Coturnix japonica: one gene and its partners. The protein of the gene in region 3 purifies or fractionates together with the protein of the main gene of each other region. This does not show direct contact. Links are inferred from orthologs where the notes say so. Each region holds a gene or a part of one and is shown on either strand. Other genes may lie near its edges.

Evidence for each region.
Region 1: the proteins of UBXN6 (region 3) and NPLOC4 purify together in Homo sapiens (affinity purification with western blotting; 3 studies listed by BioGRID and IntAct, with this or other methods). This does not show direct contact. The link is inferred for Coturnix japonica from reciprocal best matches to the Homo sapiens genes UBXN6 and NPLOC4.
Region 2: the proteins of UBXN6 (region 3) and ASPSCR1 purify together in Homo sapiens (affinity purification with mass spectrometry; 4 studies listed by BioGRID and IntAct, counting the BioPlex papers as one, with this or other methods). This does not show direct contact. The link is inferred for Coturnix japonica from reciprocal best matches to the Homo sapiens genes UBXN6 and ASPSCR1.

The regions. Positions count from the first base shown.
Region 1 is NC_029533.1:5,193,612-5,197,202, forward strand, and holds part of NPLOC4 (nuclear protein localization protein 4 homolog), read right to left. Parts: intron 2,937-3,591; coding exon 2,850-2,936; intron 1,227-2,849; coding exon 1,155-1,226; intron 480-1,154; coding exon 353-479; intron 1-352. UniProt on the Homo sapiens protein: The ternary complex containing UFD1, VCP and NPLOC4 binds ubiquitinated proteins and is necessary for the export of misfolded proteins from the ER to the cytoplasm, where they are degraded by the proteasome.
Region 2 is NC_029533.1:4,364,228-4,368,130, reverse strand, and holds the end of ASPSCR1 (tether containing UBX domain for GLUT4), read left to right. Parts: intron 1-227; coding exon 228-279; intron 280-853; coding exon 854-923; intron 924-1,227; coding exon 1,228-1,412; intron 1,413-1,732; coding exon 1,733-1,746; 3' UTR 1,747-3,393; downstream 3,394-3,903. UniProt on the Homo sapiens protein: Tethering protein that sequesters GLUT4-containing vesicles in the cytoplasm in the absence of insulin. Modulates the amount of GLUT4 that is available at the cell surface. Enhances VCP methylation catalyzed by VCPKMT.
Region 3 is NC_029543.1:1,643,125-1,647,448, forward strand, and holds the start of UBXN6 (UBX domain-containing protein 6), read right to left. Parts: upstream 2,813-4,324; 5' UTR 2,724-2,812; coding exon 2,641-2,723; intron 2,022-2,640; coding exon 1,867-2,021; intron 1,625-1,866; coding exon 1,563-1,624; intron 1,419-1,562; coding exon 1,287-1,418; intron 1,066-1,286; coding exon 968-1,065; intron 731-967; coding exon 655-730; intron 569-654; coding exon 484-568; intron 286-483; coding exon 66-285; intron 1-65. UniProt on the Homo sapiens protein: May negatively regulate the ATPase activity of VCP, an ATP-driven segregase that associates with different cofactors to control a wide variety of cellular processes.

The DNA of each region.
Region 1 (3,591 bases), on a different chromosome or scaffold from region 3:
CAGGCAACAGGACTTGGAGATTAAACACGTGAAACAAAAAAAAGCAATTGACAGATATTCCCTCAGCTGCAGGCAAAAAATGCTTTCTGGAGCAGAGAGGCGGGTGCTCCAGGTATGAGCATCAACTGAGATTCCTGCAGGGGACAGGGTAAATAGTTGAAAAGAAGATAACACAAAGAAGGAACAAAAATGTATTTTACTTGATGGAACAAGGCAAAGCCCTTGTTAAATAGGACAGATGGGGACCAAGACAACTGACTTCCTCTGGCAGAGCTGCATATTCCTCTTCCATTAACAAAAGATCATTTGTGTGTAATCAAGAGAGCTGGGGCAAGCTGAAACCTGTTTATACCTGTAGCCACAACTGTGACAAACTTGGATCCGAAATGACCGTCTGGAGAAAGGCGACAGATGTTGGGGTGCTGGTTCTGAAAGTTCCCAGCTGTGATGCACTCTTCTGCACTCAGATAATAAGTGTCCTGAGGGAAGAGCAGAAACGTCAATAAAAAGGCCAACACGATGCAGCCTAGACCCATTTCCCTGGTCTGTAGCCAAGGAAAACTACCAACACCCTAGTAAAACAAGCTTTCCTAGAAGCAGCAGAGACTAAGAATGTGACTTATCAGCTCTCCAGCCATCAGCCTGACTTTTGCCAGAACGACCATCCCACTTTTGGTTCCACCCACCTTTCCAGGCTCATTTTATTATGGTGTTTCATTTTCTAAAGGGATATCCCTGATTTCAGAATTACAGGTAACTGAGAAGGTCAGAGTTTCAGGACTCGAGCTACATGCCTCACAAAGCCCTGCCCACATCCTCTGACTCAACCACTTCTGCTTGCTGAACTTGCATGACACAGAAACTCTCTCTCCACTCAATTTTTCTTAAACCACGAGCATAATTTTCTTAAAGCAGAACAGGTGAAGGACTGCAGGCAGCTCTGCCATCTATCCAAACAGCAACAACCCCTCTAACGGTGCTCTTAGAGCTCCAGCTCCTTTTCCTTCAGCAGCTGAAACCCACACATCACAACAATTTCAGCCCCAGTGTCACCCCCAGCCCTTGACTCCCTGTGTTGGGCAGAGCCAGCAATCAGGTGATGAGACAAACCCTCGATACGAGTGGTGGTGATGAGTGACACCTTTCAGTCTCACCTTGTTCCTGCTGTACCGAACAGTGCCTTTCCGTGTGTCTTCAGAGACCAGATCAGTAAATATCCAGCCAACCTATAAAGCAGCGTTATGGAGAAAACTGCTTTAAAAAAAAGAAGGGAAAAAAAAAAGGAAGCCCAAACCCACAGAAGAGAGCTTATACATTTTCTCCTAGCAGGACAAGATGTTCTTGGCTCCTGGCGCAGCCTTGCTGCATGCTGCCTGAAGGAAATGGCTCTCCCAGCTGTGCTGGGCTCATTTGAATACGATTTCCAGGAGCAGCGTGCCAGCTGGCCAGCCGGGGGCACCTGCAGCTTTATGTTTCACTATGGAATATTTTTTCATGGAAAGATCTGGAGGCTGCAAGAGGTTTCTCAGCCGCTACCTCCTCCCACCCACAGCAAAAAGCATTTCCTATCGAGCATTCAGAGCAAAGCAGCATCAGAAGTGCCAGCAGATGACAAAGCAGCTCACATGATCTCATTTTGAAGCCTGCAGTCCCTAGTTAAGATAAAGCTCACATGCTCCCACTGGAGTGTGACTCAATCCAAATCAACCCGCTCCGTTCCAAAAAATACATTCCTGCTTTTTGCATTGTTTGCACATAGGACTATAGATGTGTACACACACACGCACCGCTGCATGAACCCTTCTACACGTGTGCTAAAAACAGCTCTGATCAGCCCCTCGTGACTGACTCCCAAAGCATTAACCCTTCAGGGGAAGGGTCAATGCTGCAGACCCCAGACAGACAAAAACCTGCACCCAGCAGTAAGCTGCGTGTTAAATCACATTGATTAAAAATATCTGGCGTGAGAAGCAAAGTTAAAGGATGGAAATAAACAACGCATACAGAAGCTTTGGTTCAGACACTGGAAAATGCTAAAGATCTTATCTTCAGAGAACAAAAGACCTCACCACAGATGTTTATAGTCTGCTGCACCGAGTCTCTTCTGATTTGCATGTTCTTTAGCAAGTCAATTCTTGTTTGTGTACGTCTCATTCCTAGCATTCACATGATACCAAATGATTTCCCAAACCACAAAAATATATCGGTACAGGTTTGAGAGACGTCAGCAAGCCAGCAGAGCCCAGTGCCTGTATGCCCTGATTGGATTACTGGCAGGCCACGGGCACATGGGGAACAGAGGACTGAGGCTCAGATGCTGGGGGACCTGAACCTCCAGCCAACATCCAGATTAGCTCGCCACAGCCTGTCTGAGCAGCACTGAGAGGCAGGACCTGCTGATGAGAATAAAAATCCAGCAGGAGCCTCCGCTCCTGGAAGCGGAACGCAGATTCTGCCAGAAGGAGGAATAAACTCAGAAGGCAACTCCAGCTACAGCTGTGCCAAATTAGCACTTGCTGGGGAGATGCTACTAGGAACAGCTCCTGTCAGAGGAGAAATAAAGGGAAAATAGTGGTTTTTTTCCTTCTTTGCTATTCTCTTTGATGTCACTCATGACAGAGGATTGCTGACTGCAGCTGAACAGCCCTGAATGCTCATCCTCACAAAAACATTTGTGGTTGCTTTTTTTCTTTCTTTAATAGACCTAGAAGGGTAAGAGCTACCAACACTTAAGCTAGATTTCATATGAACCCAAATGGTCTTCAGGAGCCCCACTGAGCTGAAGAGAACTGCTGGTGACTTTCTTCACTGCCATACAAAAGACACGTGATATCCAGCACCATCCTAACCTTTCTCAGTCCAAGCTTGGCAGCAATCTCATCCACAACCTCTGCTTTCGGATCTTCCAGGATCTCCAGGCTGTTCTGTGTACCGATCTGCACAAAGAAAATCTTGCTAGTAAAACAGAACAGGAAAATACACAGCACACGTAACCATCACCATGAGAAAGGCAGGGAATGGAAGAGCAGTTCTGCATTTTCCTTCAGCATTAGCTCTGACAGCTCTCACTCCAGAGACCTCTGTTACTCACAGCCTCATCCTGCAGGAGCTCTCCGGGTGGGCCTGCAAACCACGCAGGGGTTTATGAATGAAAGACTCTTGCTCAGCACTTACAAACAGGCTATCGCTGCTTCTGAGAGCTTTGGAAAAGGCAAGAGATTATATAATTTTCCAAAGCTCTCTTCAACCTGCCAGTCCTGCCCTGCCCTTTCATTTGTTGCAGTCTCTGAGCAGTACAGAGGCAGAAGTTCAGGGAATTCAGGGGCTGCCACGCAGGCCTGGAAAACACAACTCCATCTGAGTGTGCTTCAGAGGCGAGTTTTCTCATGTGGGGAGATGCTCTGCCAAGAAGCACAGCAGAGACTGCTTGCCAGCAAAGCAAAACTTCCTTGCTTTTGCTATGCACAAATAAACTACACAAACTTCCAAAGTGAGAATTTAACAGCAAGACCAAAACAGAGGGCATGGCTGCGTGGGTATTTGAAATAAGTAGAAGAGCTCACAAAAGGCTCTGTCTGCAGCTCTGTAACT
Region 2 (3,903 bases), on a different chromosome or scaffold from region 3:
ATGTTGCTGAACGTCTGTGTGTAGGAGAACAGCTTGAGTTTTGCTTCATATTTACCATGAGTGCCCCGTGCTCTATGTAAGTTGAGGCTTTTCTGAGTAATAGATGGTTCAGTGACCTGATCTTTAACTGTATGAATTAGTCCATAGCTGTCTAACCACTCTCTAATGTTCACAGCAGAGTGTGAAAGCTCCTACAATCAGTAACCTCTTCTTTTTCCCCATTGCAGGCTAAACTCTTTCCAGCTGCTGTCATTCATTTTGGATCTGAGGAGCGCAGGGGTGAGTGAGCTTCCTCTCTTCTTCAGCTGACTGTATAGCGCTGTATAGACTGTGTCAGTATGTTCAGATTTCTTCCAACAAAAGATAATGCAGTCCTTGCCAGTGCTGGTAACTGTTCCCCTTCAGAATAGCTGAAGCTCATCAGAATTGGGTCGGTCTCACTAGAAGTGGATTTGACTATAGTTAGTTTAAGCACAAATATAAATATGGTACATTTCTTGTGAGATTTGCTGGGCCGTGGAGCAGGCATTATCTACTATGAGGACAAAAAATGAAAGAAGAATGATTCTATAGAAGGAAATTTCATGGTAGGAAATGTTAGCTAGATAGCTGTGAGATGCTCATACAGACCTCCTGCTCTCAACCTCTCGAGGTTTTGAATGAATGACAAAGTAAAGCACCTTGAGTTGTGTAAGAAACAGTCATAGTTTGAAAGTGTTCTATTTCTCAGCTGATAGGAAACTTGCTGTAGCATACGGCAGATACTTGTTGAGCACTGGGCTATGTGATTCTGTGATTGATGTATTTTTGTTACCAAACAAGTGATTGGATTTCATTGTTTCATTTTAAACAGATTGTTACCTGAAATCGGATCTGCTGAGCTCTGCAGTTTCCCCTTCTGCAGCTGATTTATTAATGGCCAGGTATGTCAGAGTTGCAGGTGAGTATTTCAGGGAGGGCTGGGGGCATGAAGTGCCTTTCTAAAAAGAAATATGATCTGAAGATGCTAGAACTCCAGTTACTCCTTCATACAATCATATCTGAATTTGTATCTTGATGAGTCCTTCTTTGTAAAGCAGGATTTCAGTGACTAAATCAAGTAAATATTAGGGTCTTTATCATGGAGAAAAGCCTTGTCAGTCTGACTTAGAAAGCTTAAATGCAGTGATACATGGGGCTAGTATGAAAAAAGGAAGTTTAATTTTACTTGTTTGTTTTCTTCCTTAGATGTCTGTCCAAACCATTAGCTCCTTCTGCCTCATCAACTTTAGAATCAATAGTTCCACCCCTACCTGAACCAGAAGTGGGCAGTGACAAAAAGACTGAACGACCAGAAGCAGCAAGAATGCATGAAGCTCCACAGGTGCTGAGAAGGCCCCCTGGGAAAATACCCAAGTGGCTGAAGCTGCCAGGTAACACAAAGTCAAGGGAGAGTTCACCCATTGAACTCCACAGAAACGCTTTCAGTGTTGACACTGCTCTTGAAGATGTCAGCAGGAGGCTGATAGGACGTGTATCAGTGCTTGTCAGTTACAAATCATTTTGTGCCTTAAACCTCAGCCTTCACTGGAGAGGTGCCTGAATACTGATTTCATAAGGAAGTAAAAGTATGAAATGTTATTTGGAATTCCAGGGAACACAGCAGCACATAGAACAAGATCGTGCTATTGAGAAACGATGCGGTGTGAACTGTGTGGTTAAGTGTTTTAATGGCCTTATGTTTGTGTTGTAGGTGGGAAGAGATGAAGCATCCTGAGCTGCAGTGAGCATCCAGTTGTGCCTCTTTCCTGATGAACTACTTCAGAATTTGTAAGAAATTGTTGGTGGCCCTGGAGAGATTTAACACATATGAACATTAATTATATCCAGAAAATTGCTATTACTTTCAGCTGCCAGCTTCACCTTTTGGAGGCCTTTTTGAAAGGCCTGTTTATGGGCTTTGTGACTACAGAAGCAAGATTAAAGGTTAAATGTAACATTTCCTGCATGCAAATAATATGAATGGAGAAAGGAAGGGAAAATAATTCCTAGGTAATGTCTGTGAAGGCCTGCGATTCCACCCATGTTTTTAAATTCAAATCCTCCTGTATTTTGCCTTTCTGTTCTCAAAGGTAACTTCAGTCTGGTTGCTTGAACTCAAGCAGCAAAGTCCAATTCAATTTTACCTGTAGTTTAGTGCTGACTAGAACAAGACACCTCTGCTTTTTGCTGGTGATTCTGGGTATAGATGGCTAGAAAGTGGGTTTAAGGGAAGCACATTGCTTACAACAGTTCAAATTGCATTTTCCTATGAAACTCTTGGTCTACTGCACTTACATTGTTTTCATTTGCCTTAGAACACAGGTATCTGTTAATGGAACTTTCTCTGCACATAATTTATGCCAGCAACTGTGGATATAATGCAGGGAAAAAAATAGTCCTATGTGAATCTCTTTGTGTGACCATCAGTCCACAAGTGTCTTCTGTGGTCTGAAAGCTTCCACAGCAGAGTGAGCTGTTCCTTGCATTGCAGTTGGTGTACAGAGGGAAGTGCTGGTCCTGAATTTGCCTCCTGCAGATGCTGCAGTGGGATGAGTGTTACTGTTTAGAGCTGTGCTTACACTGGAGATTATAGTGCCACAGTAGCCATGGTGCTTTATTATCATTCTTTTTTTTAAGTCTTCTCCATGGATCGGTGATTCATATTGGGCGAGCTGGGGTTCCATGTTATGGTAACAGCATATTTTCCATTTTCCCTGTACAGACAATTGTTCTCTAAACTATGTGTGCATCTGCACAGTTTTGAGATGTAATAAAGTACAGTGGCCAGAGGAGGCCTTTTTGTCGGTCTCTTTGATAATGTGTTCCTTCCCCCAGTGCTCTGTTTCTCTGTCAGTTCACAGGAACCTGCTCTCTTTTCAATGGGCCTGTCATGCCTCATTCCCTTCCTCTCATTTTTTTTTCCCCCAACAAAGCAAAACAGAGCTTTGTACCATCTGAATGAACTTCAAAGTAGCTAGAAAGGGCACCCAGGGTTCCTGGCACTTGTCATTGTCTCCCAGCCTGGCCAACATTTCCCTTCAGGTCTAATTACTTCCAAATGCTCTTAGATGCTTTGAAGAAACTTGAAGGGAGGGAGAAGCATGAAAGGTGGAAGAGGAAAAAGGAGACTTAAAGCGGAGGGAGCAGAATGCTTCAACAAAAATGTTGATTGATTCCTTATATGACACCCAAACATAAACAAGGAATGTGTGCGGCCACTGGCAGTGAGAGAATACAAGAGCGCTGTGTGCAGACATGCTGCTCTAAGTTCTTCCTTTGAAAGGCAAGCTCTTGTGGTGCTTGATGTCTATAAAAGGTGTATTATAGCAAAACAAGGCCAAAATAAAATGATGTGTAAAGCTTACTACTTCAGATGGTTGTGTGGGCTGAGCTTGCTGTCTGTTCCTTACTTCTGGTGCTCTGTCCTGCTGATTCCTTTCACAGGAGTTACAAGTTATGCTGCAGCTACAGCTGCTGTGCTGAGTTTGTGCAGGATGTATTGCAGGTCCACCAAGAGAGCTATAGGTTGGCTCCCAGCACAGGCACTGATGTACTCGTGCTGGTGTTTGAATCACCGGATTAAGAGTAAATAGGAGTGTTCTGGCAGCAGGAAGCTGCGCTGGGTTTCAGGTGTGCTACTCTTTGTTTTTGAAGAGCACAGGCAACGTGGAGTGCCTTATCTGTTTTGATTTCATGTTTTGTCACTTGTATGTGGTACAGGCAAAGAGAAGGAAATGTCTGGAGGCATGAACAGCGCTGTCAGTACTACTGGGGCAGTTTCTTGGGTTAAGTACAGGAATGAGCATTAGAAGGTTAATATCTGGTCTGTCTTGACCCAACTGCTGCTCACAGAGTTAGGTATGATTCAATCTGACAGAGGCA
Region 3 (4,324 bases):
CAAGGTAGTTAGCTGGCATTGCGTGCCCCCTGGGTAGTGGAGGCCCTCACTTGAAACCTGCTCACCGGAGCCGTTGCTCTCGTTTTATCTCTTCTGCAGTGAGGTTGTAGAAGTCATTTGGCAGCTCAAATCGGGCAGCTTCAGGTGATGGTTTAAATACACAGAGCTGGCGATCCAGCTGGAGTCTCAGCGGCTCACAGCTTAAAAGCTGATCTTTATAGTACTTAAGGTCTTCCAACCTGGTCAGCATTTCTTCCTTCAGTACGTAATATTCTTCAGTGGTGTCTACAACCAAAAGCACGTTCACATATGAAATTTAAGGGCAATAATCTCCAGAAAACCTACTGCCTTAACAAGAAAAAAGCAGGACCAGAGGCTGTTCATGTAAAACAGCCCTGAAGTGTGAAGCTCTCAGAGCCTCCCCTGGGATGTCCCATCACTCAGGCTGCTGCCTTCACTTTATAATACACTTAAATATCTTGCCTTGTCCTGGAACAGGCAGTGTTTTTGTCTCAAACCCAACAGACTGGAAAAATTTATGTATGCCTTCCAGGCAGTTTATCCTTTCCTGGAAGAAAAGGAAAAATATTAAATGTAATCTGCTCCAGGCAATGAGTTCCCCAGGCAGAACAGCTGCAACAATCCTGATCTCACCTGAAATACTTTGTTCTGTAGTTTGATTTTCTGGTACTTCTCCTCCTCTGGATGCCGATAGATATTGTCCAAGTATCTGCAGAAAGAGGAATCTATGTATTTCATGGATCAAAGCGGGCACTTTAGGACATGCTGCCCATAAGGTCTCATATGGAAAAGTAAGGAAAGCAAACTATTCATTTCAAGCAGCACCTCCTAAACCTCTTGGACCAGTAGATCAACTCAAAGCATCTCAGACATTGCCTGGAGTGCAGCAATGCCTGTTAACCTTCCAGGGAAGGGACAAGCTCCCTGCGTGCTCCATCCTACTTACTTGGCCATGGTTTCTACACCCACTCGGACTTTGTCCCGATCCTTATTAAAGGTGTGAATCTCCATGATGGAGGCGGCCACTGGGTCTACTGCAAAATACTGGGAAAGAAGAAGAGAAGTCGTGGGTGGACTGACTATTCTGTACAATCAAAGAGCGTTTATAGCAAGCCAAAGGGACAGGCACTTATAACATCTGAACAGAGCCTGCAGTCTGAGAGATAGGGGAGAAGATAGGAGGGTAACTGCTGTATTGCTTGAGGGGATTAATGCACAAAATGAGTTAAAATGGAAGCAGCACAGCCTGCAGATGTAGATCTCACCGACTGGATGGCTTCTCTGATGTGTTTTTCTTTCTCATCTTTCCTTACAACTGCGCTGGTCAATGGGCAGATGAAATAAACCCCTGAAACAGAGGGTTCAGCTGCAGCTTCCTTGTACGAGAAGGCTGGGTCCTAAAAGAGACAAAAGCAGGTGCAACTGAATTGTATTGTTTGTATTGTATTGGATTGCTGTGGGTTGTTTGCATATATCTATAGGACAGGAACAACAGCACTCTCAAAGCATTCATTTTATCATAGGGAACAAGCTGCTCGTACCTCTTGGTCTGCACAAACCCCTTTCTCACTTGCAGCTGCCTCAGCCATCAGCTCCTTTCTCACTAGGAGAGAAAAAATCCCAGTTATGGCAATAGGGGAACAGAGCTCTGCTTCCTCAGAGTGCTTTGCATTGCACAGCTGATTGCCTTAACCCCATTTCTAAGAGGCTCGTCATCAAGGAGCCAGCTCCAGCTGCCAAGATGGGGACTCTACGCTCAGACCTACAGCAGCTGGTTGAGCTTGGAGGTAACACTGATAAAGCTTTGCAGCCCAGCCAGGCTTGTAACTGCGAGGAATCTCCTACCCTGGTTCTTTATGGCCTCGTAGGAGGAAGGTGGCTTCGCTTTGGGCTTCAGCTCCATCCGAGCCATCGCTGCCGCCGCCGCCATCTGTGCTTCATCGGTGGGTCCTTGTCGAGGCTTCGGTGCTGCCTCTGCTTTCGGCTTCTCCTTGGGGACCCTACAGGACAGAACGCAGCTCTATGGGCCCCTTGACCGGCAGTAACAGCTTTTAGCACCCCAACCAGCCCTTGTATGGACTCAAGGTATAGATCCCAACCAGCCCTTGGGTGGACTCAATGGATCCCAACCAGCTCTTGGATGGACTCAATGTATGGATCCCAACCAGCCCTTGGATGGACTCAATGTATGGATCCCAAATAGCCCTTGGATGGACTCAATGGATCCCAAACAGCCCTTGGATGGACTCAATGTATGGATCCTAAACAACCCTTGGATGGACTCAATGTATGGATCCAACCAGCCCTTGGATGGACTCAATGTATGGATCCCAACCAGCCCTTGGATGGACTCAATGTATGGATCCCAACAACCTTGGATGGACATCAAGTTGTAGGGATCCCAACCAGCCCTTGGATGGCCTCAATGGATCCCAAACATCCCTTGGATGGACTCAATGGATCCCAACCAGCCCTTGGATGGACTCAATGGATCCCAATCACTCCCAGCCCCATTCGTTAACACAGCCCCCCCCCAAGCCGTGACGTCCCGGTCCCGAGCTCCATCTCTGGGCCCAACGGGCGGTACCGAGCGGTTACCGGCGGTGCAGAGCCCCGTACCGAGTCGGTTCCGAGAGTTTCTGGCCTGGTCCAGCGCTTCGAAACTTCAGGTCGGCCTTGATCTCCTGGAAGAACTTGCGCATAGCGACGGAACCGGGACCCGAACCAACACCGGAACGGTACCGGCCGCACCCACCTCCCACTTCCGGTCTACTCACGTGATCGCACCCGGAAGTAGGTGGGGGCAGCAACGCCTTCCTGCCGTTCTACCCAGCCGTCTCTGTGCGCGGTCCTCCAGGCTCCCCGGGGCTAATGGACCTGTATGGTGTCCTATAGTTGGACCCTTCAGCCCCACTATGGGGCAGGTAAAGTGGGTCAAGATGCAGATCAGAGTGGTCTGAATTGGAATGGACCTCTAAAAGCCATCTGGTCACACTCCTGCAGAGAATAAGGTCACCCACAGCTTAAAGAGCCCCATCCATAGTCATATTATCCCCATAGACACCTCTTTGGGTCCTTATACCCACTCTAAATCTCCCCTCTTTTAGTCTGAAGCCATTTCCCCTTGTCCTATCACACAGACCCTGCTAAAGAGCAGCCCCTTGTTTCCTATAGCCCCTATAGGTACTGAGAAACCACTCTCATCTCCCTATGGAGCCTCCTCTTATACACAGCCCCAGCTCTCAACCCATCCTACATCATTTTTATGGCCCTCTCTGGTCACACTCCAACAGGTCTGTGTCTCTTTTGCACTGGACTCAATGCTCCAGGTAAGCTCTAACCAGCACAGGGGCAGATCCCCTCCATCATTTCCTATGGCCTTCTAAGCAGCCCCCAACAGGGAACACAGCACACTCAGTTTGTTCTCACTCCTCTCCCATAGGTGTAATTGCTCCGTAGTTAATCCCTGCCACACGTGTGGGTTGTGTTTGCTAACAGCCTCACCAGGCTCAGCTGCATCTCATCCAGCTTCCATTTCTCACTTGGGATGCAGCAGCAAATTGTTGCTTAAAAGCTGAGCTAAAGCAGGATGAATCAGATGGGCTGGTTGGGTTTGGCTCCGTGAAAGCACAGAAATCAGGTCATTAAATCACAGGTCTATGATCCTAAATCAGCTCTAATTCCTCTGCATGCTCCCTGCTCCTTTCCTATCCAACTTTCCCCTATATTAAGGGCAAGCTCTCCATTCCTATCCAACCTTCCCCTACATGGCTGTGCTCTTTAAGGGATGCCTTCCATACCCCCAGCCCTGCTCTCATGGTTATATCAGGACAATTCCATGGAGCTGCTGGGCTTTAACCACCCTAAAGCTCCATCCCATGGGCCTTAACCTCCCTAAAGCTCCATCCCATGGGCCTTAACCTCCATCCCATGGGTTTTAACCTCCCTAAAGCTCCATCCCATGGCTCTGGGAGGCTCATTTTGCTTATCTGTCCCTAACGAGATGGCTGCTCATTGCTTTTTCCCCCTCAAAATCATTCACCTTCGTGCCATGGGGACCCTCCCTGGCAGCCTATTCCCCCCTCATAGCTCACCACAGTCCCTGACCCCTTTAAACCTATGATCCCCCATCCCCATAGACCCCAATACCCCTCCATATCTCCCCCCCATCCATACCCCTCTTTACCCCCTCCCCTCCAGCTCTGGACCCAATCCCGTTATCCCACCGTACCCTCCCTTCTTTCTAATGGGTGAAATAGCAAAACGGCACTTGTAACAACTAATAGAATCCGTGTATACCCAA